Lytechinus pictus: one gene and its partners. Each later gene encodes a partner of the first gene's protein in a complex. Links are inferred from orthologs where the notes say so. Each region holds a gene or a part of one and is shown in the gene's direction. Other genes may lie near its edges. The genes, in order: structural maintenance of chromosomes protein 2-like, condensin-2 complex subunit D3-L-like, condensin complex subunit 3-like and condensin complex subunit 2-like.

Evidence for each region.
Region 2: the proteins of structural maintenance of chromosomes protein 2-like (region 1) and condensin-2 complex subunit D3-L-like are in contact, whole or in part, in a cryo-EM structure (PDB 9F5W), measured with the Homo sapiens proteins. The link is inferred for Lytechinus pictus from reciprocal best matches to the Homo sapiens genes SMC2 and NCAPD3. Residues at the interface, in NP_001036015.1 of Homo sapiens: Arg112, Ala122, Asn123, Asn124, Thr125, Arg126, Leu218, Lys222, Arg225, His229, Trp940, Asn942, Ala943, Glu944, Phe948, Arg981, Met985, Arg986; in NP_056076.1 of Homo sapiens: Asp31, Met72, Ile80, Pro127, Gly128, Ala131, Phe135, Pro137, Asp141, Lys235, Gln237, Gln240, Leu1121, Asn1196, Asn1200, Pro1203.
Region 3: structural maintenance of chromosomes protein 2-like (region 1) and condensin complex subunit 3-like share a complex: the UniProt entries of both Homo sapiens proteins name them as parts of the condensin complex. The link is inferred for Lytechinus pictus from reciprocal best matches to the Homo sapiens genes SMC2 and NCAPG.
Region 4: structural maintenance of chromosomes protein 2-like (region 1) and condensin complex subunit 2-like share a complex: the UniProt entries of both Homo sapiens proteins name them as parts of the condensin complex. The link is inferred for Lytechinus pictus from reciprocal best matches to the Homo sapiens genes SMC2 and NCAPH.

Annotation. Positions count from the first base shown.
Region 1 is NC_087255.1:14,793,166-14,800,128, forward strand, and holds the start of structural maintenance of chromosomes protein 2-like, read left to right. Parts: upstream 1-3,948; 5' UTR 3,949-4,057; coding exon 4,058-4,225; intron 4,226-5,962; coding exon 5,963-6,112; intron 6,113-6,963. UniProt on the Homo sapiens protein: Central component of the condensin complex, a complex required for conversion of interphase chromatin into mitotic-like condense chromosomes.
Region 2 is NC_087250.1:11,499,332-11,506,331, reverse strand, and holds the start of condensin-2 complex subunit D3-L-like, read left to right. Parts: upstream 1-3,973; 5' UTR 3,974-4,010; coding exon 4,011-4,080; intron 4,081-6,989; coding exon 6,990-7,000.
Region 3 is NC_087256.1:26,508,748-26,516,305, forward strand, and holds the start of condensin complex subunit 3-like, read left to right. Parts: upstream 1-4,538; coding exon 4,539-4,566; intron 4,567-5,947; coding exon 5,948-6,140; intron 6,141-7,558. UniProt on the Homo sapiens protein: Regulatory subunit of the condensin complex, a complex required for conversion of interphase chromatin into mitotic-like condense chromosomes.
Region 4 is NC_087256.1:27,812,118-27,819,455, reverse strand, and holds the start of condensin complex subunit 2-like, read left to right. Parts: upstream 1-4,323; 5' UTR 4,324-4,430; intron 4,431-7,338. UniProt on the Homo sapiens protein: Regulatory subunit of the condensin complex, a complex required for conversion of interphase chromatin into mitotic-like condense chromosomes.

The DNA of each region.
Region 1 (6,963 bases):
GGTTCAAGTAGCATCATGTGACCGAATATATTTCAACTATGATGTTGCGTGACGTCAGACCTCGATATATTTTTGGATATACCAATATTCTGACGTCATTATTTCACAAAACTGGATATCTCGGCGCACCGGCTTGCGCGCTCTCTCTCTCCCGGGCGCGCAAGTCCAGCGCGATGCGTCAGCGCAGACACTAATCTGCGTTCCGCTGGGCGCGGTGGCTCGGAGAAAAGTAGGTAATTCAACAGGACTTTGCATGCTCAGCGCATAGATTTTGGTTATAAATTATTAAAAGTAGGATATAAAGCAAATATATCAGGCGTTTCATTCGAAAGCATAGTGGGAATTATTGATCCTCGGTTGGACTGGCAAAACTACTATATTTCCCTCGGGGCTTTGCCCCTCGGGAAAAAATAGTAATTGCCAGACCAACCTCGGATAAATAATTCCACTATACTTTCTCAAAGCCCGATATATTTGTTTATTTTACCATAAAGATGTAGTGAAGTATATCAAATTACCTATTACAAGGAAATATGTGTTTTATACAGTTTAATGCTGTAATATAGCTCATTACACAACTTACAAAATACCAAACTGCTATCATTATAATTACTTTTGTATTGCAACATAACAATCTCTCTCTGAGGATTTTTACTCAAAGAAATATATGCATTATGGTGAACTGAATTTTCTTTGTACGCATAAAGCTTCCATATCAGTATGCGTAGGCAAAAATCTTAACATTTTCTTTTCTAGCACTGTTGCGTAATATATTTAGTTGGTAGCTGTCATGCCCCTCACGTTTTGAGTGTATTTGAGATTATAGCTTGGGTGACAATGTATCGCGTGCCATGTAGGAAATGTATGTTGGTCATCATTTATTGTTTGGATTGATTCCTTCAACGTTTCTAAGCAAAGTTAATGCTACGAACCAACGTTTGTGTATTCTCTTCATACCTAAAGTGTACTTTTTGTAAATCGTATCATTTATGCCATCGTGGATCTGTGCAGTTATCTTTATCTTTCATTGCTGTTCATGGTGAATGGATAACTAAAATGTGAGCATAATTAAAAACAACAGATGTTGCCTTGTCAAACTGAAGAATGAATTTGTTTATTATTTATTATTGAATATAATTTAGCTTTAAAATCCTTATACCTCTATTGAGCTACTGTGGTTTTCAAAATATTTAATGTGTGGAGGAATGTTAATAGAGTACCGAAATGTGACGTCATAAATTTGCACTTTTTGCATTTCAGCGTTTTTATACCATATTTTGGTATAGCATGATGAAAAACTGCCACAACCCAAATATGGTAGGAATCGGTCTGTGGGGCCCCAAGATATGACCTCATGAATACATAATTAGCTCAATCGAAGTCAATGTATTATTGGCCTGGTTCTAAATGTTAGGAACCAGGCCAATAATACGTGTACATTGAATTCAATTGGACCATAGAGCTATTACAGAATAGCTCTATGATTGGACTAACTATGTATTCATCAGGTCATATCTCAGGCCCCCATGGATTCTCACCAGATTTTGGAAGTGGGGGTTATTCATCATGCTCTACCAGAATACGGTATAAAAAATGCTGAAATGCAAAAAAAAGTGACGTCATCACTTCGGTACTCTATTACACATCGTTTGATGTGGGTGGAGGGGGAATTGGAGATTGGTTTGGAAGGAGAATGGATCAGGGGGGTAGAGAAGGAGAATGAGATACAGGGTGAAAAGGAAGATGATTGGTAGAAAGGGAAACAAAGGATAAGATGGAGAGAGGAAGCACAGGAGGGAGGCAGGGAAGAGAAGAGAAATGGGCAGATAGGTAGAAGGAGAGAGAGAGAGAAAGGGATCATAGGGTTGATAGATTCATCTACACATGTACATTACAGGCCTACTGTAGGAAACTGAAGTTGAAGAAGTTGATGACTGAGGGGCAAAGAATTCCAATGTTATGATGAATCATATGAGAGAGAGAGAAGAAGAAGAAGAAGAAGGGAAGGAAGGAAGGGAAAAAAAGAAAAAGAAAGAAAGAAAGAAAAAGAAACAAACAAAGAAAGAAAGAAAGAAAAGAAAGCATCAATAATGTCAATATTTACAAGGGAAGAAATGGAACAAGAAGTTTTTCGTTGTCCAGTCTTAATTGAAGTGATCTGTATGCATATGACCTAATATAATCCTAGTGTGAAACCTGCGAGTTTTTTTTATTTGTCAGTCATTCCCATATCTTATTTTATTCAATTTTTCCTTTCGTCATATATTCGAGATTCTTTAATCATATATTTTCTGTTGGTTTTTCCGTCTTCTTCCTATTTCATCATAATTCTATTTTCTCCTCCTTCCTCATTCTCCTCCTTCCTTACGCATCTCTTTCTCTTTTTTCTAAATTCCACCACCAATAGGGGGGGGGGGGGCTGATTCCATCCCGATTCACGCCTTGGAAATAAATTATTTGATATATGCTTATTTGTTATGATTAAAGGGCAAACCATCCTCACAAAATCAAAAAAGCTTTTATTTGAATAAAAAAGTAGAAAAAAATAATTTAAAAGTACGTTTAATCTTAAAAATTGGATATGAAACGAGGTAGTTCTGACAGTGTTTTACTTAATTCACAAAGTAGTTTTATGCACAACCTGGTCGGTATCCAAATGACGTACCGATGACGAATTAACTCAGTGACTCACTATTTCTTTTGTTATAATAACTAACAAACATTTTCTCCTCACTTTTTCTCCCTGACAATTGCCACTCTTATAACACATGTTAAATTCGATGAAGCTAGAGTATCATTATTGTCAAATCTGCAAAAAGAAATAATGTATAATAGTGAGTGACTGATATCGATTCTCCATGATGATTACCACTGTGTTTTGCATAACTTTTTAAAAATAAGCGAAATTCCATAACTTTCTTATTTTGCATCCGATTTTCATCAGCATGCTTTGTCTCTTTTTACTCAATATTGTTGGTGTGAACATTATTTTTAAGAAGCGTTCAATTCTAATTAACACAAAAAGTCACAATTATTATATGATTTGCATAAATGAAACAAAATCTGAAAAAGAAAAGTTTACATTTCATATAGGATAATATTTAAATAAAAACGAGCTAGGAAGGTAATAGGTAGTCCTATGCTGCATACTATAGGGCATCATTTTTTAATATATCATTTTAAAGGACAAAAGTTAATTTGAATTTTTAAAAGAGAACACTAGAATTTCATCATAACCAGTTGGAATTAATAAAAAAAAATATTTTGTCAATAATATACTTTAAATTTGCTTAATTTCACAAAATGTGCAGATATATCGTGCACGTAAAAATCCTGTTCTGAGTCTGTATAGAAATGAGGGGACTGATGACGTCATTTATTTTGCTTTTTTTTTAAAGATTATATATTTTTATTTTCTCTTCATTGTCCATGAAACAAACTTTTTATTCCTCCCTGAACATATGTCGAATATTGTTTTAACATTTCATATTGTTCAGTCAAGTTGGTTCTCATTGTCAAATCCTTACAAATGAAATAGGGCCTAAATATTGTATAATTCACACAACAAATTGAGGAAATAACAAAATAGTGAGTGCGGGACATCATCGTACACCCTAATTTGCACAATGAGTTGTCATGAAAACTGTTTTGTAAAAAATAAGCGAAACTTTAAAATGTCACAATTTTCTTATTAACTCAAATCAACGTTTTCTGGCAGCGTACGTGGACTTGAATTTTAAACAACCCCGACACAAACTTAAACATTTTTTTTGGGGGGGGGGGGTGTTTGGTGAGAGTTTAGTTACTTTATTAAAATATTTAAACCCGACCGAACAGAAAATTTCCCAAAATATTTACTAGTATTTGAATCATTGTGATGGCGCAAGACAAAAAAACCCAACATCATAAACAACAACTGCAAAGCCTGCCTTCGAGCTTCGCGCATGCGCAGACGTCAACCGCCAAATAACCGGGCGCTTTGAACGGAGCGGAGTGCAGTGCCGCAATACAACTTTTCAAAATATTATTTTTTGGGACTAAATCTCAGGAATACAAGATGTATATCAAGGAAATAATCATCGATGGATTTAAGTCATATGCACAGAGGACGGAAATCAAGGGATTTGACCCTCTCTTCAACGCAATTACTGGATTGAACGGTTCTGGAAAGTCAAACATCCTCGACTCGATTTGTTTTTTGTTGGGGATCTCCAATTTAACACAGGTGGGACTAAGGCTATTTTCGATGTGAAAACTGAATGTTCTTTGAAAGTTTGAGTTTGAATGAGATCCAGACAAATAGGCAAATCACTCGTTTATGAAAATTTTGAACAAAATTTACGTTAGACCATAATTGGCCCCTTATTTAGATTTTTCTATGCCAAGCTATGAATTTTAGCCTAAGTTTGTTACTTTAGGCCTAGATTTTTGGCATTGTCCGGATTTGTCGATCAGATCACAACTTCTCAAACATGAAACAGATCCCATGAATGATGAATTGACATGATGAAAAAGAGGATTAGCTTGGCGGCAAATAAAAATGTTATAAGCAGATTCCTCATAAAAAAATCACCCTTTTTTTTAGCTTTTCACCGTCTACTTAAAAATTCACTGTCTACTTTTGTTTTGATAAGGTCTAGGATTTTTGTTGTCATCCTCACACAAAACAAACGGGCTTCTGACTAGCCAGGACATGCAGGAGGCTCCTGGAGAATAAGAATTATTCTACTAACATAGGCTTACTCTCCACGGAGCCAGGAATTGCGTCCCGTTCATGCGCGTGTGCACCGCGAAAAAAACTGAAACTTTCGCCCCCGAGATTTCTACTTCTAAACGATCTAGGCCTAGCCCACTTCCACTTCCAAACGCGGTTCGTGGTGCGAGGTTAGTATACTAATACTAACCTCGCAATACGTGTGAGTGGGCCTAGCCCTAAATCATGTAAATGAGATACAACTTCATTTCCGACATTTCTACGATATTGATTTCATTTTTAAACAAGAATTCATTAAAAAAACCGAGAAAAATATGAAAAGACGAGGAAAACTTGCCACCGCGGTTATGTCGCCATCTTGTTTTCTTTGTCTTTCGCCAAGACGACAGCATGCATATCGCGATATATGCAAACAAAGGCGCACTATTACTATATAGTCTGAAAATGAGGAATGCATGTCCTCGCGCCTCACAAACCAGTAGAGGTGCTGGTCGAAAAATTGGGATTGTCCCAGAAAACAAGGATATCCTCATAAACCAAGACAAATCATGTCTTGATGAATTGAGACTGTCCTTGTATGGGGACATTTTTTTTTTTTCACTTACTCCTTCGGGACATATTAGATGGCAATTTGGGGGATTGAGAGTGCTAAAAATAGATTCAGTGGCCTCAATTCCCCTACATGTAGTTCACCATCTATTTTTCACGACTTGCTGTCTCAATAATAACAAGAATAGAGTCAATAAAAAAAAGAAACAAAACTATTCAAGAATTTGAGTGTGATATATCCGAAAGCCATGTATTACTTTTTAAGATTCTTGTATCCTCATTTCTGATAACCCATTTTTGGCAAAATGTGAGAATTTTGAATATATGGCCTCAATAAAATTCAATAAAAGGCTGATTGTCATCTGGGTCGTGCTGTCTATGATTGCTGTCGTATTGAGCTGAGATATTGTGTAACGGGCAAGATTTATTTTTAAAATATAGTTGCGAGTGAGCAAAAATTTCGACATTTTCTATACAATAGTCTGTGATAAAATTCGACATAATAAATTCAGAAAATAATTTGCGATTTCACCCTTCTCTTTTTTCTTTTCCTTTATCTGTTTTTCTTGGCGGTGATTTTTTATTTTATTTTTTTTATTATTTTTTTTTTAGGGGGGACAAGTTCCCCCAAGCCCCCCCCCCCCATCTGTATGGTACTGTATATGATTGATTCATTGATCCATCTTTTTGTTGTACTAGGTTCGAGCTGGCAGCTTACAAGAACTGGTGTACAAGGGAGGCCAAGCCGGTGTCACAAAAGCAACTGTCACAATAGTCTTTGACAACAGAGACAAGAAGCAGAGTCCAGTAGGATATGACAGCTTTGATGAATTCACAGTCTCAAGACAGGTAATGATATCATGGGGTCGTTTTCACAAAAACTATTATCCCTGCACAATCAATAGCAATTTTGAGGAATTCAACTGTTCTCAATACACTGGAAAATTTACCTCAAAATTTTTGGCCATCAACTGCAACCTTTATCAATGATATGAACTTTCATGATCAAATCCATATTAGAATATTACAAAATCTACACACATTTCTATGGATTTTCCATTGAAATTTAAATTTGTTATGAAAATTGATTTACAGTTGATTTGAAGGGAATAAAGATAACAGTATGTTATTCGTTCTTTAATCTAGAATCAGTTTCATGCTAGGATACATGGTTGATATGAATGAAAAGTAGAAAGAAAAGAAAAAAAAAAAAAGTAATTTGAAGGCACAGCCATTTCTTTGACCCGAGACCAAAATATTTCATTTTAAGAGAGGATAAATGGAATATCCCAAAATAAGCCCTAAGCAAAATGAAAACAGTCCAGTTCTAGTTCACTGATAGTCTTTAAAAAAATAAAATCTGTGGGAATTTTCTATTTTAATCTTAACCCTATATAGATCTAGGCCATGGTATTTTGGGAGATCATAAAGATCTCGGCTGTTGATCGTGCGATCGCGTCAAAAATTGGCATGGAGGTTGTGTGGGATATAATCTACAAAATTGTATTGTAATTTATTTCTTGCAAATTGCTATTGATTATGCTAATTTACAAATAATTAGTATGCAAAATCATAATTTGTCCTCTATTTCCCTAAATAAAGCTCCAAATGTTCTAATTTTTGGTGCAGAAACTCTTTGTGGTGTTCTTGGCAAATTTACTTTTAAAAAATTGCGATATCAGTTCAATTTCTTATGTGTT
Region 2 (7,000 bases), on another chromosome or scaffold:
TCAAACTTCGCTCATTTGTGCATATACAAGTGACAATGATCTATTAAGATTTTGGGTCTGAAAGTCAAATCTCAAGCTCTCTGGATTCAATCAAATGCATATATTTGCTTTTTTGAGAAACAGTTATCTGACTAGATTTTGAAGTCACAAGATCAAAGGTCTTGAGGGTTTTTTTTTTCTTTATGGAAATAAAAACTAGGAAATATATTTCTGGTATGGCAGTAGCGGAGGCATCTATTTCCAACATTCGTGGTCGAAAATTCATCTTTAGTTAGGATTAACATTGCTGTAAATCAATTTCGATTTCAACATTGTGCTACATTATATATATATGTATATATATATACTGCGTAGTAAGCGCTTGGTCATCAAGATGTTGACAAATATTGCAATAAGCTGTTTACTGAGAACGATGTAAACTTCTGTAATGTATGTGGCTTTAACACAGCCTACCAAGGTGGAGTGAGATTATTATTATATTATTATTACATGAATGACACAGTGATCTCCATTATTGCATATCATGCATGGCTGACTGTTAGCCATTTTTGTAAAGAGGACCAAATTATATCAAGAAATTCAGGAAATCTTAAGGTGATGTAGCAATTTTTTGTTTTCTTATAGTCAGAAAAGGATATTAAATGTATCAGAAATTCCTCAAATGAAAAAGCATGTGACATTTTGATTACATTTCAAGAGTTTCTCAAAATAGCAGATTTGCATGATGTAGTACAGAAAAATTTGAAAATTTTAGATACTTCTCACAGATTGACATTTTTCTTCATTATGATTACTGAGGATTTACTACATTGTATTTTGTTGTTCACAGAATTATAACATTTTCATACTTTCACTTTCGCAGCTGTTCAAGTGTCACAGTACAAACATTACTTTGGCAAAATTGGAGGTCATATTTGTACATGTTTGTTCGTCAAATATTCATGTAAATATTAAGTATTTGCAATGGTAGCAATACTCTCATTCGGGTTCTTTCTTGCCAGTTTCAATATCAAATTGATAGTACTGTTGTAAGAAACTTTATTTGTGAGGAATATTGTATGCAATGTAATATTATTGTCACAATTTAATGTATTCATGGCAGTTAATGTATTTGTATGCTTGTAATATAAATTATTGGTTCAGTGTGTGTTTAGGACTATTCATTATTTTGATATAGGATTGAATAAGGTTTTCTGTCTTAATAAGATTTTTGGGAATATGTATATATAAGAAGTTGACATACACTTAATTTTTTATCAATTAATAGTATACATGTAAAATTACTCATAAGTGAGAAGTTTCACTTAAAAATTCAGTTTTCTTCTGGTAGAAGCATTGTCGTCAGGTTACCATGGAGTAAGCATTTTGCGTGTTACTACGGATATGTGGATGTAAGAGATAGAGAGTCTGTGTGTGTGCGTGTGTGTGTGTGTGCGTGTGTGCGTGTGTATGTTCATCCAGTGTTCATCCAAGGTCAGCTGAGACAAGCCCTCCTAGAAGGAAGTTCACTTTAGTCAGATTTGTTTTCTTAAAGAAATTGAAAGTTTGCCATTATTTCAGGCAGTAGTTGCATAAGTGAAAAATTGCTTTCACTTGTAATTGATTCTAATGGGTTATGACTGAATATTTGAATGATTATGGTACCCTTCATGTAAATGGATTGCTTTAAAACACACCTGTTCATTAATGTACTCTCATTTAATATACAGTGGCCTGAAAGTTTGTGTAAGGTTAGCAATTACAACTACTTTAATGCATGCAAGGTGAATTTTACTTGTTGAATAGATTTATTTACAAAATGTTTAAGTCAACTGAATTGCAAACAGCAGATAAAGTAACACCAACCAAATTTTATGGTTGTTCTTACAACCTTTGTTGCTTGCTCTGACAGGTCCAACAAATACATAAAGAGTTTATGCATGCAAAAAGGATGCCACTTATTGTAATACCATTCAGTCCATGGTAATTACCTATTACCAAATCCAGAGGAACAAAGTATTCATGAAATTTGACTACATTAGTGAACAGGTCTGTAATGAACATCAGCATTCTTAGGACATTTCTGTGTACATAGTTTCTGTATAATTGTCATCTTTGAAATTTGATTATGCAACACATTCTACTTGCCAGCATTTTGCCCATGATCCTTACAAAAATTGTACTGTTTGTGAAATATGGCATTGTCAGTTCTACTGCATGTTAATGCAATAAAGACTTTTCAAAGTTTCATTCAAAAGTTTTACTCAAGTGTATTTTTGTCATTGGAAGTTGTGCCAATTACAGTAAAACATACTGTAAATGGGGTCAATTTACAGTAAATTACTGTAGGGAGTGTACAGTACTGGGGGTAAATTGGGAAGGTGTACAGCATTTTACTGTAGGAAGTGTACAGTACCTCACTGTAATGCAAGGGAAATTTACAGTAGTTTACTGTAATTTAACCAAATTTACAGTAGCAACAATTCTAAAATTTGGTAAATTTTACAGTAAGCTACAGCACTTTTCACGGTATTTTCCTGTAGCTAGTTCAAATTTACAGTAATTTACTGTAGGACGAAACTACAGTAGCTTACTGTAAAATAAAAATTACAGTAAATTACCGTGCAGCAGAGTTGCCAGTAATTTACTGTAAAATCTACAGTAAACTTTTTACAGTGTATTTTTTTACAGATTTGACAACTAGGACCAACTTGACTGAACCATATAGCATTAAACAATGCTAATTCCACATGTTCATAGAGGAATTCATCGTTGTTTCACTTGACAAAGAGGAGAAAATTAGAATATTTCATATTTCATATAATAAAATAAAAAAGAAATAGTGAGTGGATGATGTCATCAGTCTCCTCATTTGCATACAGACCTGGGGAGTGTTTCATCAACATTTTCATCCGACAAGTTGTCAGATCTGACATCTTTCTCTGATGTTGATTAGCTGAGAGGTACTGTTACTATGGTAACTGTCGGATAAAATGGGACTTGTCGGATAAAACGTCCGACAAGTCCTTTCATGAAACGCCCCCCAGGGGAGTGTTTCATCAACATTTTCATCCGACAAGTTGTCAGATCTGACATCTTTCTCTGATGTTGATTGGTTGAGAGGTACTGTTACTATGGTAACTGTCGGACAAAATGGGTCTTGTCGGATAAAACGTCCGACAAGTAAATTTCTTAATTTTCTTTCTTTTCTCATTTTTTATGGTGGTGATTTTTTTTGGGATCCGGCCATATGCCCCCTTCCCACTGAGCTCCCCTCTCAGTGCCCCTTCCCCCTTGTGCAAGGTGTCGCCTCAACCATCCATGCCTCAACAGAGATGTTTATGCGTGTTTATGCATATGCGCGCGCGAGTCCAGCGAACTTAAAGGAGAATGAAACCCTTGAAACCAGCTGAATCCATATCAAAGAGAAAAATCAAAGAAACATATTGTTGAAAGTTTGAGGAAGATTGAATGAATAATAAGAAAGTTATGAGCATTTAAATATTGAGATCACTAGTGCCATGTAGATCCTCAGGGCCCATCGGCAATGCGACCAAGATCTGTGATATCACACACGTACAACTCCCTCATTACTCTAGTACTTATTTCACTTTATATTCTCACTTTTATAGAGTCTATCACAAGGTGAGGTGTTCTCTTTATGAGATGACAAGTACAGAGGTTTCACAACATTATACCATTGATGAATCGTTTGTCATATGATTAGAATAAGCAAAAAGAGATGTTTTGGGGTATATTTTCAGTGTCCAAATGGGAGAGTTGTACGTGTGTGACATCACAGATCTTGGTCGCATTGCCAATGGGAGGATCTCCATAGCATTAGTGATCTCGACATTCAAATGCTTATAACTCTTTTATCGCTAGTCCTATTTTACTCAAAGTTTTGTTGATCTTATTCTTTGATTTTTCTGCTTTCACAAAAGCTAACTTGCTCCAAGAGTTTCATTCTCCTTTAAAACGTACGGTACGGCCGGCAGGCGCGCGCGCGGGAAATTTGATTGAGAAGGAAGATGGCGAAAGAACCGGAATCTAACGTCGCTGAACGCTTTGCAAATTTGGGAATTGAACTCTTAGATGAAGGTGAGACGACACTTAATGTGAATTAGGAGATCTAGCGTTAGGTATTCCTGCTTAAGAGTGATGTTGTTTTTATAATTTTATTGCAAGGTAACTTTGATTAGCTGATCTGCTCTGGAAGCTAGTGCCGCTATGCGGTACGTGCACGGCTGGCCCGCCGGCGCTCCCGGGCGACAATATTTGAATATTCCGCTCATACTCATAGGCGGATCCAGGGGGGGGGGGGGGGGGGGGGGGGCGAGGGGCCCGGGCCCCCTATTGGCGGAGCCAAATAAAAGGGGAAAGAGAGGAGAAAAAAAGAAATGGAAGAGGAGGAAGACGAGTGAATAAGATGAGGGGAATTACTAGCCTACGGTACTACTACTAGGCCCTACTTGGAAAATAAAAAGAATCTTTCATCATCATGATTCATCATGATAATGTTCATCATCATGTCACTTAAAATTTTTAGGTTCACGCTCGCATTACCTGCTGGGTGATTTTCATATCTTATAATCTTGTTCAATCTGGAGTCAAAATAACAAGTTTGGAAGTCAATAATATACTAGGCCTATACACAATCAGAGTGTCAGAGGCGCTGGTCAGAAAATTGGGATTGTCCCAGTTTTACAGCGACTGTCTCAGTTTTTAAAGCTTTCTTCACAAGAAATGTAGTAAAGTTCATTCACCTGTCAAGTGCCGACACCAATCAAGTACGCTAGTCAATGTAACAAATCAGGTTTCATAACAAGATTATTGGAAGACTGGAAGTCATGAAAAATAGACCATGTGTATGTAGACAGTGAACTGGGGGGAATTAAGTCAAGATCACTGAATCTATTTTTAGCACTCTCAATTCCTGTAATTGATGTCTTTGTCCCGTAGGGGGAAGTGAACAAAAAAAATTCCTATAAACAAGGACAGTCTCAATTTATCAAGACATGATTTGTCTTGGTTAATGAGGATATCCTTGTTTTCTGGGACAATCCCAATCTTTGGACCAGCGCCTCTACTGACAATATATTTCACCTCTGAAATTGAACTTTCATTATTTTGTGTGATTTACAAATTGATTTTTAAAAGGTGCTCTGTAAAAATATCAGTTTTATGGCCTGAATTTTATCGCAAATGTTGATTTATCAGGTAGGCCCTACCTATTATTAGGGAGACCACAAGATTTTTCTATCTCATCAACCACTTCATTAAACTGTTTGATTTTTTCAGATCTTGATAAAAATAGTGCAAAATAGAAATCTACCAAATTTCATAGTAATCCATGAATCAGTTTTTGAGTAATAATCAAATGAATTTCGAATGAAATTCCACCAAATGCTCCCAATAGGCTCTGTAGTATAATTTGTCACAACACACTCACAGCTGAAACACACGACCACACACAGAGTGCAGATATTTTGTGTGCAGTTTTGCATTGGGCTTTCTGGAGTATGGGAGGGGGGGGGGGTATTTTGAAAGCAATTCTGACACTTGATCCTGAAGGAAAGGTGAAAAATGAGTATTTCCATTGGATTTGCCATTATCAATACTACAAAAACCCACTAGTTTATAAAAATATGGTACTTTTATTCACAAGATACAAAACTTTGAACTTCCTTTTTTAATGCCACATCAAAATCATGGTAGTAACCAAATGTAAACTACATGTAAGTAGGCTATACATGTGGAGCATTTTATTCTCTTTAAGTTGATACCAAATTCATTAAATTTGGATAATAGGATCATATGTCAGAAATGCGTTGAACTTTGATTTTTCCCTCAAAACCATGACCATTTTTGGCTGTGTGAATGCGGTGAAAAGGGCGATTTTTTTTCTCTGTGTGCAGTCGCCCTACTATTATTTTCGTGTATTCCATAACATTTTCAAAATATCCCTTTTCAGGTCTGATTGTCAAAACGTATCAGCTAGCGCTGCACGCTCGCATTTTGATTGGCGAATTGTGTACGTGTCTCAATATTGATTTTACAACAAACTACTTAAAATCCCCTTTTTACCAAATAAAGAAGTTGTGACCAAAACTTTTCACTGCGATGTCATCGAGGCAGCGTTGCTCAGTCGGTTAGAGCGCATGTTTCGAATAAGATCGTAGATCTCAACATGAGGGGTTTCAGTCCCGCTCATGCCGAAACGCGTCTAACAAAAAAGTATGATGCTATAGCGTTGTGTGTTAGCGTGCCTCACCACTATTCAGTGCAGGTGTGAATGCAGTTGGAAAACACTCCATCCATCGGAAAGGACGCAAATGTTGCTCCTGTGTTACATAGGAGAGGTACAACCTATGCATGTTAACACCAATACACTATTTCGTCAAAGATTAGGGTGTTCATCCGGTGTATTGCACCTGCCGGTCCCGGCAAAATTTAGGTCAAGTACCCGATGCGTTTATGCCCATGAGGGCCCTGTTTCGTATACATCCAGATCCAGTTGCGGGGTTTGGCTGCCATTTTGGATTTTGGCCCGGCACACTTTTTTCTCGGACCCAAGACAAAAAATATTGTCATTTCATGTTGAGATATTAATTACAAGGAATAAAAAAAAAACTGTTGCCGTATTAAAATGACAAAAAAAGTATTTTTGACCCATGTATAGCCCACTCACTCAATAATGGTAGTGACTACATGTATATGAAAACTGTTAAGTAGGCTATCTTTAAGGAGCATTTAATTCTCTTTAATTTGATACAAAAAAAAATTGATAATAGCATCATATGTCAGAAATGTGTTAAACATTGATTTTTCTCCTCATAACCATGTCAATATTTGGGTGTGTGAGTGTGGTGCAAAAGGAGGAATTTCTAGCTATGTGTGTGCAGTTCCCCTCATAATGAATCAGAATTGCTGCATACATGTGCTTTCCGGGGATTCATCAAAACTGAATATAAACTTTTAACCTGTTATATATATTTTTTTCCCTTAAGGATGGGTGAAC
Region 3 (7,558 bases), on another chromosome or scaffold:
CAGTTGTTTGAATGTCAGAGAAATAGAAACGACGGAGGATTGAGCAATAGTCGACTCCAGGGATGGAGCGAAAATAGAGGGGATGGGAGTCAGAAAGAAATGAAACAAGAAATTGAAGAATAATGAGAAGAGGAATATTGAACCAAACTCAAAACATTAATATGACAAACATATCAAATATAATTTAAAAAGTAAACATAATTATTCTTTTCATTGTAAAAAAAACCCCATCTGATTAAAGAGTAATATCAATCTTATTCAAAAATATTTTTGTTTATAATTTCTCTTGAACGAGTTAAGGGTTTGTTGATTTTGTAATTCATTTAGGAGAGAATTCCATGATTTTGCACCTGAGTATTTGAAGGATTGTTTGAAAAGTTCGGTATTTGGTTTGGGCGGGACGACATTTAAAGAATCAGCATTACGAGTATTAAAACCATGTCTGTCATAAAACATTTCTATTTCATTGCAAAGTCTGAGTGGTGTAGAGCCATGTATGCAACGATACATAAGTACATTAATGAAATAATATCTTTGCATCTCAAAGTCTTGCCATTTTAAATCTTTAAATAATTTTGAAACACTAATATCACGTACACCATAATTCTTAGTGACTACACGAGAAGCTCTTTTTTTAATCCGTTTGATAAGATTACGATTTTTCGATGAACAATTTCCCCACACAGAGCTTCCATAATCAATGACAGGTTGGATGGAGGATTTGAAAAGGGTATTCAGTAAATGGGTGTTTAACATACTACTAAGCTTACGCAACATATACACTTTGTAAGAAAGGTTTTTATACAAGTCAACTGTTTAATGTGCTCATCCCAAGTCAAATGAGAATCAATATTAACACCAAGGTATCTAGTACAACTGACTTGTTCAAGTTTTGTGCCATTTAAGAATACATTCAATTCAGTAGGATTTGAATTGGTTTTTGTCGAAATTAGCATAACATGGGTTTTATCGGAATTGATTTTCAATCTGTTATTTTTGTACCATTTATCAATTTCCGTGATGCACATTTGCAATTTAGATTCAGCTTCTATTAAATCTTTACCTGTTGTATAAATGGCAACATCGTCAGCAAATATGCTACATGAACCAGCGTTTACTCTTTGGATTATATCATTGATATATAAGAGAAACAGGGTGGGGCCAAGGACCCCACCCTGGGGAATTCCTATTTTTACTTTGCCTAATTTTGACATTTTACCATTAAAATAAACAGATTGCTTTCTTTCATTGAGGTAACTTTGAAACCATCGTAATTCGATTCCATGAATACCATGATATTGTAGTTCAGATATTAATAGATCATGAGAAATAGCATTAAAGCACTTCGAAATTTTTAAGAAACATACCGAAACCACTTCACGATCATTCAAGGCTTCTAGCCAATCGTCAATAACTCTGTGTAGACAAGTAATGGTTGAGTGATTTTTTAAGAATGCCGACTGTTCCACTGTGATAAAATCATGATCCATTAGGTACGACATGAATTGTTTGAGTACCAGTTTTTCCATTATTTTGGCTAAATGTGAGACAACAGAAATTGGCCTATAGTTGGAAGGAACATCTTTGTTTCCCTTTCCTTTGTAGATTGGGGTAACCCGCGCATATTTCCAATCATCAAATATAAACCCATTTTTCAGTGAGAAATTAAAGATATTGGTTAGACTCATTGTTAGGTATGGGGCAGCAACATTTAACAATTTACAGTCAATTCCTAACACATCAATGTTGCTTCTACTAGGTAAATCATTCAAACAGTTTAAAACATCATTCACAAAACTTGAATTCATGTGGACATGGTGGATTATTCCAACATAGAGGGTCATGGGAAATACTTTTAGTAATATTTTGACCAACATTAATAAAAAATCATTAAAATCATCAGGAGTAATATCGTTATTAATGTCACTCAAGAACTTGGAATTGCCAGTGACTCGATTTAATTTAGTCCACAGTTTTTTAGGGTTATTATTAAACTCATAAGATACCGTACTGAAATACTCAGCCTTAGCCTTTCGAATAGTACTGGTCACAAAATTACGTTGCTTACGATAATCTTCGAAAGAATGGTTACATTTAGCTTTGCGTTTTAAAAAGTCCCTTTTGTTTATGGACTTAACAACTCTGACGTTATCCAAGGATTGTATCTGTTTTTAACTCGTGAACATTTAATAGGAGCATGTTTATTGCAAATGCCTAAAAATGCATTGATCCAAGAAAGCCAAATATCGTCACATGTCGTGCTAGTTTCGGGAATAAAATCATTCATAAGACGACTACATTTGGATATGTCGCTTAAAAAGTCATCCAAATTAAATTCATTATATGTTCGGAAGCTTATCATTTTATGACCAGAACGTTTGAAATCAAAGTCAACACAAGTAAAAATCATGAAATGATCACTGAGTGATATTTCACATACATCACTAGTAGTATGGGAATTTGGTATAGTGGAAAGAATTAGGTCAATACAAGTGGACGAATGTGCAGTAACACGAGTTGGCTTTTTAATAAGCTGCTGTAGTGGGAATACACATTCAATGGAATGTATTATTGTATTATTTCCACTGAGGTAATCAACATTAAAGTCGCCGAGAATTATCAACTCTTTATCATCCATCATAATTTTTTTTAAGACATTGGAAAAATGATTCAGGAAATCGATGTCTGTGTTAGGTGGACGATACATGCAGCAGGTAAAAATATTTGTAGATTTACATTTAATTTCAATGAGAGCCATTTTAATAGTAGAGTCAGTAAGCAGGTCACATCTATCAATAATATTTAATGATTTTTTAGCATAAATGCAAACACCTCCACCTCTTTTATCAATTCTGTCTTTTCTTATTATATCATAGCCTTCAATAGCGATGAACTGGTCTACGATCTTATCATTGAGCAAGGTTTCCGATATACACAGAATATCTAAATCAAGTGTTATATGTAGATATCTCATTTCATCGATCTTCGGGTAAAGACTGCATGTATTTATATGGGCTAATTTCAAACCAGAACAACTTCTAATTTTATATTTAAAGTCATGTATAAGAGACTGTGAAGACTCACAATTTACAGATGTGTTTGAAGACTGTGGAGAATCACAATCTACAGATGTGTTTGAAGACTGTGAAGGATCACAATCTACAGATGTGTTTGAAGTCATATTATGAGATGAGCATATGAGGGAGGATAGATGCTCATTAACGGCAAAATCTTCTTTGCCAACTAATTACAAATTTTGGTTGAAACGATGAAACTTGGCTTTGTGGCCATACTGAGAACAAGAGTTACACTGTAATTTTGATTCATATCTACAATTTCTCTGTTTATGGTTGAGTTCACCACAGTTGTAACATCCTGTATAGGAAGGATGTGGAGTGGCAGAGGATTCAATCTGAGTTTTTGGAGTGTCAATTATATGGGAAGAAATTGCACAACCAAACAGTCTAGCGCCTTCAGCGTTCAAGTGGACGCCATCTGCGGCGAGATGATTTTCAGGATCTATGTTCAATAAACTTCCAGTTCCTTCGCAGTGCCATCTGGTGAAGCAGCTAGTTTGCCTCGTAGGTTTTCCATTCAAGTTCCTTTTGAAAGGTCTTATGAGGGATGATGGAACTCAAGACAATTGTTGAAACAGTAGAACAGTTAGCTAAAATCTGATCGCCAAGAGATTCAATCTGTACAACTAACATGCTAGGATCAGCGTTAATCAAATTATTGGTTCCGACATGAAGAATAACTACTTTTGCATGGTATTTATTTGCAAGATGATGGGCATGTTCGAAGACATTCTCTACTCTGGCACCAGGGATAGTTTTACAGTAGACTCGATTCTTGTGATTAGACATTGACAATGGTTTAAGATGTTTAATTATCGAATCACCAATCACAAGGGTATTGATTTTCTCATCGGAAACGAATACACGATCAGATTCAATACAATTTAAATTCTCACTGGTATGAGACTCATGAGTAAATCTCACACTATGTTTGTAACGGTAATCATGAAGTTGCTTATCGAAATCTTATGATGTTCGGAAAGCTTCGTCATTCCCACTGTGGGTTAGTGGTACTGGAACGGGAGGTGGGTCTTTTTGAGGATGGTCATCTGAAGGATGGTCATTTGAAAGACAAGAAGTGTTTTCATTGGGGCTGTTAAATATCTGTGCATGACTAGATTGAATAGCTTCAAGCAAGCTATTTACAAGGGATTTGAATTGCTTGAACTCATGTGCAAGATAATCCAATTTTTCACGAAGATTAACATTGGAAGTTATAGTTGCTGTCTGCGCATGAGAATCATTTGACGATGAGCAATGCTCGGCACAAGAGTCGAGAACGGGGGAATCCTCGGTGGGTTGTGAATCATCCATAGAATCCTTTGTGTTTGGGTAATTACATGGGGGTTCCACCAACACTGGGCATTCATCCCGATGTATTGGATTAGAAACTTTGGAGGTCAAGGGAGGATAATCCGTTTCGCACCTCCCTTCAATAGGATTAGTTTCGGGCTCCGTATAATGGTTGCTAATGGCAACGCTTACATCAGTTTGGCAACTGTTGTCATGGTGTTGCCTAACGCTCGGCTTGTAGCTTTCTGGACGTTTGGGGCGGCCATTTTGAAGAGATATGATACTAAAATGGCGGGCTATATCCTGGTTTAAATTAGGATAAATAGACCCCAATTCAGATGTAAGATAGTCCACAAGTTCATCATCTAAAATAGCATCAGTAATATCATGAATCAGTAGATGTGAAAGAACTGCGTCAATACTTGAGATTGTTATATGCTTTGGTAGTTTACATCTAAAGTCGTCCGAACCAATGGTTCCATGGCAGGAATTAGTTTTTATCTTCGTGCAATGTTTTGATTTAGTCATTATGAAGCTTCAGTATCATATGAAGAAGAGGATATTGTTGAATTCATATAGTTAAACATGCACAAGATGATAATATGTTACCTGGTGTTACGAGGGTAGACAAATATAACAACGAAGGATTAGCTCGGTTTGCGAATCCAAAAGTGTGTATGGGACTAGGTGTGTCCAATACATCGTTCTCAGGGTCACATAATGTCGAATTGATGATATCCAAAGTATGGTAAAGTCCCAAGAATAAATCCACAATGATACAAAACAGCACAGAATATATTCTGGAAGCAGAAAGAGTATTATGATTTCCAAGTATTGAAAGTCACAAATTGTAAAAAAGGTAGATTTAGAGCCAAAAAGCAGGAGCAACGAATAATTGAAGTGCAAGCAGAAAATCGTAACACAGCTATCACCACAGAACGTTTGCTTTCTTGGAAATGATGAATCCAGAAGTGTGGGAACTCTCAACAACTAATTCTAACTCTCGCTGGACAACGATCCGGGTAAATCTGAACTTTAAAAGCAAACGAAGACACCTGAAACAATGCAACGAGACGAATTTGTACAAATCATTTGAAGGAGACAATTGGTCCACATTTAATACCATACGTAGTGCGAGATTTTGTAAAATTTTTGATCAGGGTTGGCCAGATTTGGAAATTGGGACGGTGAATACTGGCAAACTCCGGTAAATACTGCCTTTGCTGGTCTTTGAGGAAAATGGAAAATAGTTGGAAATACAGGGAAATACTACAAACTATACTTCTTGAATATTTTCAGGCATTGTCTCTCAGCATATTCTAGCATTTCCTTGTACATGCACTCCCTGTACATCTGAAATATTTCCCAGTGTTTCCAACCAGAGCGGGAAATACCAAAATTTCCCCAGGAATTGAACTGCTTCATGCATGCCCTAATGAAATCCATAATTAGGACTTGCGTGAACACAAACAAAATCTTTCGTACATAGTTAATTGATTAAAAGCCCTCATAAGAAATGGATATTGCAGAATAGTTTTTTAAACTTCATTGTCAACCATGTTATCTTTGTAACCTAGACATTGTCAAGGACATCTGCTCTGGTAAGATGCTTCAGAGCTGGCTTAGAGCCTTTGATGGTAATGCCATTGATCTTCTCAAGCGCTTGGATGTTGAGAACTCCTGCGCTACCGCAGAGCTCGCCCTGAAGACCATTTTCGAGAAGGTTCCCGTCTCGGGATTGGTGGAGGACTTTGATCTACTGAATGAAGAGTAAGTCATACCAGGGGCCCGTCTTAGAAAGAGTTGTGATTGATCCAATCAATTGCAACTATGGAAAGCCAGCAAAGTCAACATATGAAATGCATGTTTATTCAAAGATTGTTCTAGATATGAATGTATATCCATAAAGTCATTGCTTTCTTGACAATTTGGTGTGTTTTCCTTTGTTTACAAAGGACATTGTGCAATTTCCTGTAGAAAAAATTAACACAATGATGGATTTCCATAGAGTTACAATTGATTGGATCAATCGTAACTCTTTGTAAGACGGGGCCCAGGTGGGTGTTTCATAAAGCTGTTCGTAAAGTTACGAACGACTTTACACATGTTCTTAGGTCATAACTCAATTACATAGGGATATCACAGAGCACAAGAAAGGATCACCAGTCGTTCGTAAAGTCATTTATCTTACGAACAGCTTTATGAAACACCCACCAGGAGTCCTTCTTTAAAAGAGATGCTATCCAATCAACCTCAACTATGGAAAGCCAGCAACACCCACATATTTGTTCAAAATGTTTTCTCGATATGTTTACTCATACATTCATTGTTGTCTTGACATCTTAGTGTCCCTCCACTTTGTTACCAAAGGACATCGTGCACATTTCTGGTAGTAAAAGTTATGACATTTCTGGATTGCCATATAATTCAGGGTGATTGGATCAATCACAACTCTGGGACCCAGATTAGGTCCCCAGGATATGCTTGCTATTTTTTTTTTAAAGGTCAAGTCCACCCCAGAAAAATGTTGATTTGAATAAATAGAGAAAAATCTAACAAGCACAACACTGAAAACTTCATCAAAATCGGATGTAAAATAAGAAAGTTATGACATTTTAAAGTTTCGCATATTTTTCTCAAAACAGTTATATACACAACTCAGTGATATGCAAATGCGAGAGTCTATGATGTCCATCACTCACTATTTCTTTTGTTTTTTATTGTTTGAATTATACAATATTTCAATTTATACAGAATTGACAATAATGTAAAACTTGACTGAACTACATAATGTTAAAACAATGTTAATTCCACAAGTTCAGGGAGGAATAAAGCTCGATTTCAAATGACATGGGTGAGAAGATCAGAATATTTCATATTTCAGATAATGAAATACAAAAGAAATAGTGAGTGCGTGATGTCATCAGTCCCCTCATTTGCATCCTGGCCAGGATGTGCATATAACTGTTGTGTGAAATTAAGTGAAACTTTAAAATGTCATAACTTTCTTATTTTACATCCGATTTTGATGAAATTTTCAGTGTTATGATTGTTGGATTTTTCTCTTTTTATTCAAATCAACTTTTTGTCGGGGTGGACTTGTCCTTTTAAGTGAATACCAAGTCTGATTCCTTTCATAAACAAGGTTACAATTACAACATTTAAATGGTTGTTTGTATCATCTTCAA
Region 4 (7,338 bases), on another chromosome or scaffold:
ACTTCCAAGACGGTCCCTGAGACATGAATTTAGGGAAAATCCCAAAAGATGCAGCAAATGCAGAATTTTTATTGGTCAAATTTTGGAGGGCGCCGCCCCCAAATCAAACTTAGCTCGCTCACACGCAATCCTGGTGACGTCATGGTGACGGGTCGCGTGTGCAAAACTTTGAATTTCCCCATTGACTTTATACACATACAAACTCTGCAGTTCATGTGGAATACAAGGACAAAGTACGATATTTTCCCATTCAAAGAACAAGTAGAGGTAAGCCATTCGAAAATATAGAATACTAAATAATTACTGACAAATAATTACCGATCCTTTTAATGCCAAATATATCATAGCTACCTGAAATAACTCAATTTAGGGTGAAATTATCAGTCAAGAGGGATGCATTATTGGGGCTTCGTAGGATCAACGGACGCGCTCGACGCACTCGCAATGGTATGTAGGGATTTTGATAGAGCAAATACCGAATATACCGTTGTCCCTACTTTTAACTTGATTTTTCTCTGTTTTTTGGCAATTAATGCCAAGAGGGAATATTAATTTGCATTTTGGTCGCGTTAATTTTCAAAAATTTTATTCATTAAAGACAAAAATTGAAGAGCCCCGACGGGGGGATTTTGCATTGCAAGTCCCCTAATGGTGGCTGCACGCTAGCGAGCCGTCTGTGTACGAGGAGAAATAAAAAAAATAAAAAAATGTTTAAAAACTCCTCGAAACAGACGGCTGCCAGCTGTCTAAAACTGCAGGTGCTAACAGAAAATTAAATGCCTGGGACTGATGATTAAATCCGACACCCGGCCCAGCCCAGGCCAGTCGCTGCGCGGAAATATAAATACATCTAATATTGTGCATCGTCAAGTTATAAGTAGACTATTCCAGTTACATTTAAAAGCGTTTCATTGAATTTTATTAAAAAAAAACTTACGTCGTCGTGTTGCATTTTGTCTGACAAAGCACCAATTCATGAATTTATCTACAAAACTCAAAAGTACAGAATCCGTGGCAATCACGTCGGCTCGCACATGTCACGTCGCAATTTTGCCAAATCTATGGTATCACTAATAGAAAAATGAATTGGAAAAAAAATACGTTATTGCCCCCATAATCCTTTTCACTCTCAAAAGTTAAAAGAAGGTCATTATTCAAAGACAAATTAAACAATGAAGGCACCTTTAATTGTTGCCTTAAACTGTCAATTTCATAAGTAAAAGAAATTCTTTTAATGGGGCGACAACATGCATTAGCAAGTTTACTTATTTTTGTAAAATTAGTGTTTTGATGGCAGCTAGCCGTTTCAGACCACTGAATGAGTAGTGAAAGCGGTTCCCGATCATGCTGGCCCATGGGCCCTGCAGTGGCTTCTGATATTTTTTCGCTTTTCAAGTCAAAATATATCTCCACACGCTTTAATTTGAGATATTATACGTCATTTTCATGATTACTAAAAGTGCTTAAAATGTACCGATTTTATGTCTAAATATAAAATACATTTCAACTGACTCCCGCTTCGCGCACTCTCGCCTTCAGTTTTTCCAGGCTGGAGATATTTCTATCTCAATAAAAAGAGTAAAATTCACAGAGCAGAATTTTTCTTTTTTTTTAAACAAGTGCACACCAAGTTACCAATAATGCCTATAGCATTTCCATTTATTTGAAAGCAGGATAAGAGAGCATTGCACATTAAATGCCTTGCTCACAGGCATCGATGTGCCGCGGCCGGGGATCGAAACCGGGACTTTTTTTATGTATAGCCAGGCGCCTTAGACCACTCGGCCACGGCACCTTCAGCAGAATGCTGAAAATTTGATCAAAATCGGATAACAAATAACAAAGTTATTGAATTTTAAATATTTGAATTATTCCGGTGAAACTATTCTAGGCATGTCTTTATAAATATTCATTAGGTGGGCTGATGATGTCATATCCCCCACTTGTTCTTTTGTATTTTATTATATAAAATTAGATTTATTCAAATTTTTCTACCAAGAACTCAAACAATTGGATTGACAACTGATTAAGTGCATTAGTTATTTATTGCCGCAACTTATTTCATCATAATGCAGACACATCATTTACACATGTATGAAAAAATGAAACATTTATGATTTCATGTAATTACAAAATAAAAAGGAATGTGACATCATAAGCCCATCATATAACTGTTTTCACAAAATAGTGATAAATTTTAAAATTCAATAACTTAAATCGTTATAATTGTTATCCGATTTTGATAAAATTTTTAGCATTTTGCTTTGTGAATTTTACTCCATTTATTCAGATATAAATATTTTCAGCCCGGCCGGACCATCCCTTTAATGATTTAATTAGATAAATATGTTCAGTCCTAAAAATAGTCTTTAAAATGTTAATTTACATGTCTGAATATCAAAAATCTACAACTTGCACTTCGCGCCCGAGTATATGTGGATGGTGTTCTTCATAAATGAAGCGCTATGTTTGCTATCGCAAGGTTTGATTAGTAGGATACTTCTCTTGGTTTTACATTGCTTATATGTGCTTAGAATTTCTTTGTTTTTAGGTCTCAAGGTCTCGATCTATTAACCAAAAATTCAACTCGCGGCGCCGCATTATCATTATTATAATTATTATTATTATTATTAGTATAGTAGTAGTAGTAGTAGTCAGGCGCGGATCCAGGGGGGCACAGGGGGCACGTGCCCCCTTTTATTATTTATTATTATTATTATTTGAGATCACGCGCTCACATTCTTCATAAGGCTATAAGGTGTAGTTAAAACACCATGGCCCGTATTTTGAACTCGAGTTTAAATCAATCCCTGGTTTAAAGTTGTGGTTTAATATAAATATATATTTACTCATTCGACACCCCAATTGTTCACAATTGCCTGAGAATGGCAACGGAATTATTTTCCTTTGTAATGAATGCAAAATGAAACAAAATATTAAACATAAGAAATTCATAATATAAAGATAATTTTTGACTCCCATAATTTTAGCACATCGGTAGAGTTGGACCTTGGTCTAAATTAAACCTGACTTGGAAATACGGGCCTACAGTCTTTATATACATAGGACTGCCCCCCCCCCAAAAAAAAAAGGCCTTCAAACACAAAAAAAAATCAGCTTTTAGCAGTCAATTGGGGGAAATGTGAATGAAAAATAATGTTCCGTCCCTCCTATTTGCCTTTTGTATCCCCTTCTCGTGCCCTCCACCCGCTCGATCGCTTTGCTTTCTCGCCGAGGATCTCACAACGTCACAAAAATTGTGCTCCGACCTTCAAGATTTTGCCCCCTCAAATCTTAAAGTGTTCCGGCGCGCCTGTCTTTAATGTCTTGCAACGTAACTTTAACTACTAACTATACCGTCCTTTATTCAATAAATTGAGGCAAAACATCTTAATGGTTTTAAAAATATACTTTATTGAGGGTATAGTCAGTGGAGGGATGATCAAGATATTGTGATTGGCGATGGTCAAATAAATGAATAGATAAAAAATCTGTGAACTATAGGCGCGTTAATTATTTATATTAAGCATTATGTTGTACAATTTCCATATTCAAGGATAATTTTTTTTTCATCGTTAAGTGCCAGAAAAGAAGAAAAATAGGCCTATAACTATATTACAAAAACTTTGACAAACAAAAAAGGAGTATTTTAGAAACCGGACCCCAGCCTTTAAATTGGCGGTTCATCTATCACCCCCCCCCCCCTCCCCCTCTAGCTCCCCTGTCATCCGCCATGTCCTGAAATAAATTTTGGTGGAGCTTTAATAGCTAAATGGTTATTTCATAGTGGAAAGACCTATACAAAAAATTTTTTCGCCCCCAATCCAAGTCATAATTTGTCTTTCCTGTCAGTCTTTATTTTCCATTTACTGCAATGTGTTTTCTCCCGTTTTTTCTTCTAATTTCCTTTCCTTCCCTTTTCCCTCAACCTTCCCCGTATCTTTCCCTTTTTCCGAATTAGGCCTGGACTTCCTTGCTCCTGCCCCATTTTTTCAAAATATGGGTATGAAATGGGATTTAAAAAATGAATTTTATTTCAAATAGGGCCTAGGCACTGAAAGTGCGAGCGGGGCCGGGGGTCAATAATTAGGACTCGGACAAGTGTATTTTTAATCAGCGCAATTTTACTCTAGATAAGCCTGCGAATGATTGTCGACCGCTCACTGCCAAGAATTCTTAATAAAGCCCCCCCCCCCCCTTCACCTGCTTCCCCGCCCGGGGGGGGGGGGGGCGATTCGAACGAGCGCGAGCTAGCTAGCTACAGCAAGCGATCGAGCGAGCGGCGCGAGAGAGCGCATGGAGCCAAGATTATCGGCTGCGCATGCGCACCTACTCAAATGTCTTCAGCGCCATTTTCAATATTCGCAAAAGTTGTTTGTAAACAAGCCGCAAGTATTTGTCCTTATAAGTCTATTGAACATTTTATTAAGGTGAGTTTTTTTTAGCTATGTACTAGGCCTAAATTTGTAATTGGTTAGAAGGTGCGCCCGAAATTGTTATTATAGGCGTAGAATAGTAAACGTAACAAGTTGCAGTTTCTTCTAGATCTAGGCCTACTGGAATCTTACATCAGTCCCACCTATTAAATTCTGTGACTGTTAATGTTATTTAATACGAAGACTGTTCGGACAAAAAAAAACATAAATTAAAATCATCATGCTCTGGGTTTTCTTGACATACATGCATCATATATTATATCACAAATAATTATGAAGTTTTTTATTTTAATGTTGTTTGAGAGCAATTTTTAAACAATTGAGGCCTGAGGCGTGCTAAAAAAAACAAAATTAAATAAAAATGACAAAATACCGTATGGGTACTAGTATTCAACCCGGCATAATTCAAAGATTTTGACATATTCCCCAAAATATTTAGAAATGGGGAATTTATCTTAATTTCACACCTTTGTTATTTCCAGGGTAATCTGTTGTCGATATTTTCTTTGTCAATCTGTCGACTGTATGCGCGGAGGGTCGAATTATGCGGCGATGGCCTTTTGCACTGAATGGTACTAGTATTCAACCTAGTGAGGATTGATAGCAAATCTCAAAAGGGTTTAGATTGCTAAATTAGATCTAGATCTATGTAAGACTCTGGCTTTGATTAATTCCCTGTTTGGTCTCATCTCAAATGGTCTAGTCCATAGTCGGATGGGACAAGGGCAGATTGAGAGACAGGGCCATCTTTCATCGCTAGGTTGAATACTAGTACCGACGGGTTGAATACTAGTACCAAAATCCGTCGCCGTATAATTCGATCGCCCGCGCACACAGTCAACTGGTTGAAGAAAAAAATAACGGAAAAAGAATAACCAGCATTTGCTCTTGGAAATAAGACGGGTCTGAAATTCAGGTAAATTCTATATTTCTATATATTTGAGGAAACTCTCCAAACGGGTTGAATACTAGTGCCCTTACGGTACATAAGTTTAACATAATTCAATTGCCATGGCCCATGTCCATGAATCATGAAGGCATGATTGCATCATTGCAGTCAAAAATCCTGATGGGTTGACTTGGAATTCTGCAACCTTTACCGTTGCAGGAAATATTTTTTACACCGGCAGTGCAGAACAGAGGCAGAGGAAACAATCTAAAAATTTCTTGAAACGATCAAGACTGGATGTTTGGAGTAAATTTTTCACTCAAACAAGAGTTGTAAAAAAAATGTAAATTAGACTAGGCCTAAGCTAAGTCTAAGTTAGATCAATGGTCATTTTGCCTCCGACGAAGATTCTGCTAGGATCGAAAGCTTAGGCCCCTTTTTGACTTTCTAAGTTAGATCGACTTAGACTAGAGAGAGAAATGACCGAGATAATCTGAGATTTTTGCCTTTTTTTCATGTTTTTGCAATTTTGTGGCGTGTCGTCTGTCGTCCGTCCACAATTTCAAAATGCTCCTTCGCCATTTCAATTCTGTTTGCTTTATATAAAACTCATTAAATATGCTAATTTATATGCATTTTTCAAAATTCACAAAAAATGCTTCTTTATTTTTTGACCGATTTTGATTTTTTTGCTTCCATCTGGTAGAGCTTCATGAGGTTCACTAAACTTCTACACAGAATTTTTAAATTTGGAGTAGAAAATTATGCTAATTTATGCGAAATTAACTCATGCATATTTTTTAAAATTCACATAAAATGCTTCTTCTTCTTTATTTTTTGACCGATTTTGATTTTTTTCTTCCATCTGGTAGAGCTTCATGAGGTTCACTAAACTTCTTCACAGAATTTTTAAATTTGGAGTAGAAAATTATTTATGCTAATTTATGCAAAATTCATAAATCACAGAAAATGCCTCTTCTTTATTTGTTGACTGAATTTCAAAACGCTTCTTGTTCATCATTTAAAGTCTGATTTCAATTATGTTTGCTTTATATGATAGCATTAGGTGGGGGATTTAAAACTTCTACACAGAATTTTGAAACTCATAAAATATGCTAATTTATGCGTATTTTTCAAAAAATTCTAATAAAATGCTTCTTTAATTATCGACCGATTTTGATTTTTAGAATTTTGAAATTTTCAGTAGAAAATTATTCATACCAATTTATGCAAAATGTATTCATAAATCACAGAAAATTCCACTTCTTCATTTTTGTTCCATCTGAGAGCTACATGAGGTTCACCAAGGTTCTACACAGAGTTAAGAAATTTTGACTAGAAAATTATTTATGCTTAATTTATATGAAATTTATTCATAGATCACAAAAAAATGCTTCTATGTCATTTCTTCATCAATTTCAATTCTATATCCTCAATTTATGTCACCAATGTAATTCACTACAGTGTCAACTGGGCTGAAATTAAAATTGTGTTAAAGGAGAATAAAACCCTTGAAACCAGCTGAATCCATATCAAAGAGAAAAATCAAAGAAACATATTGTTGAAAGTTTGAGCAAGATTGAATGAATAATAAGAAAGTTATGAGCATTTGAATATTGAGATCACTAATGCCATGTAGATCCTCCCATTGGCAATACGACCAAGATCTGTGATGTCACACACGTACAACTCCCTCATTACTTTAGTACTTATTTCACTTATATTCTCATTTTTATAGAGTCTATCACAAGGTGAGGTGTTCTCTTTATGAGAGGACAAGTACAGAGGTTTCACAACATTATATCATTGATGAATCGTTTGTCATATGATTAGAATGAGCAAAAAGAGATGTTTTGGGGTATATTTTCAGTGTCCAAAAGGGGAGAGTTGTTCATCTGTGCCATCATAGATCTTGGTCGCATTGTCAATGGGAGGATCTCCATAGCATTTAGTGATCTCGACGTTCAAATGCTCATAACTCTTCTATTGCTAGTCCTATTTTACTCAAACTTT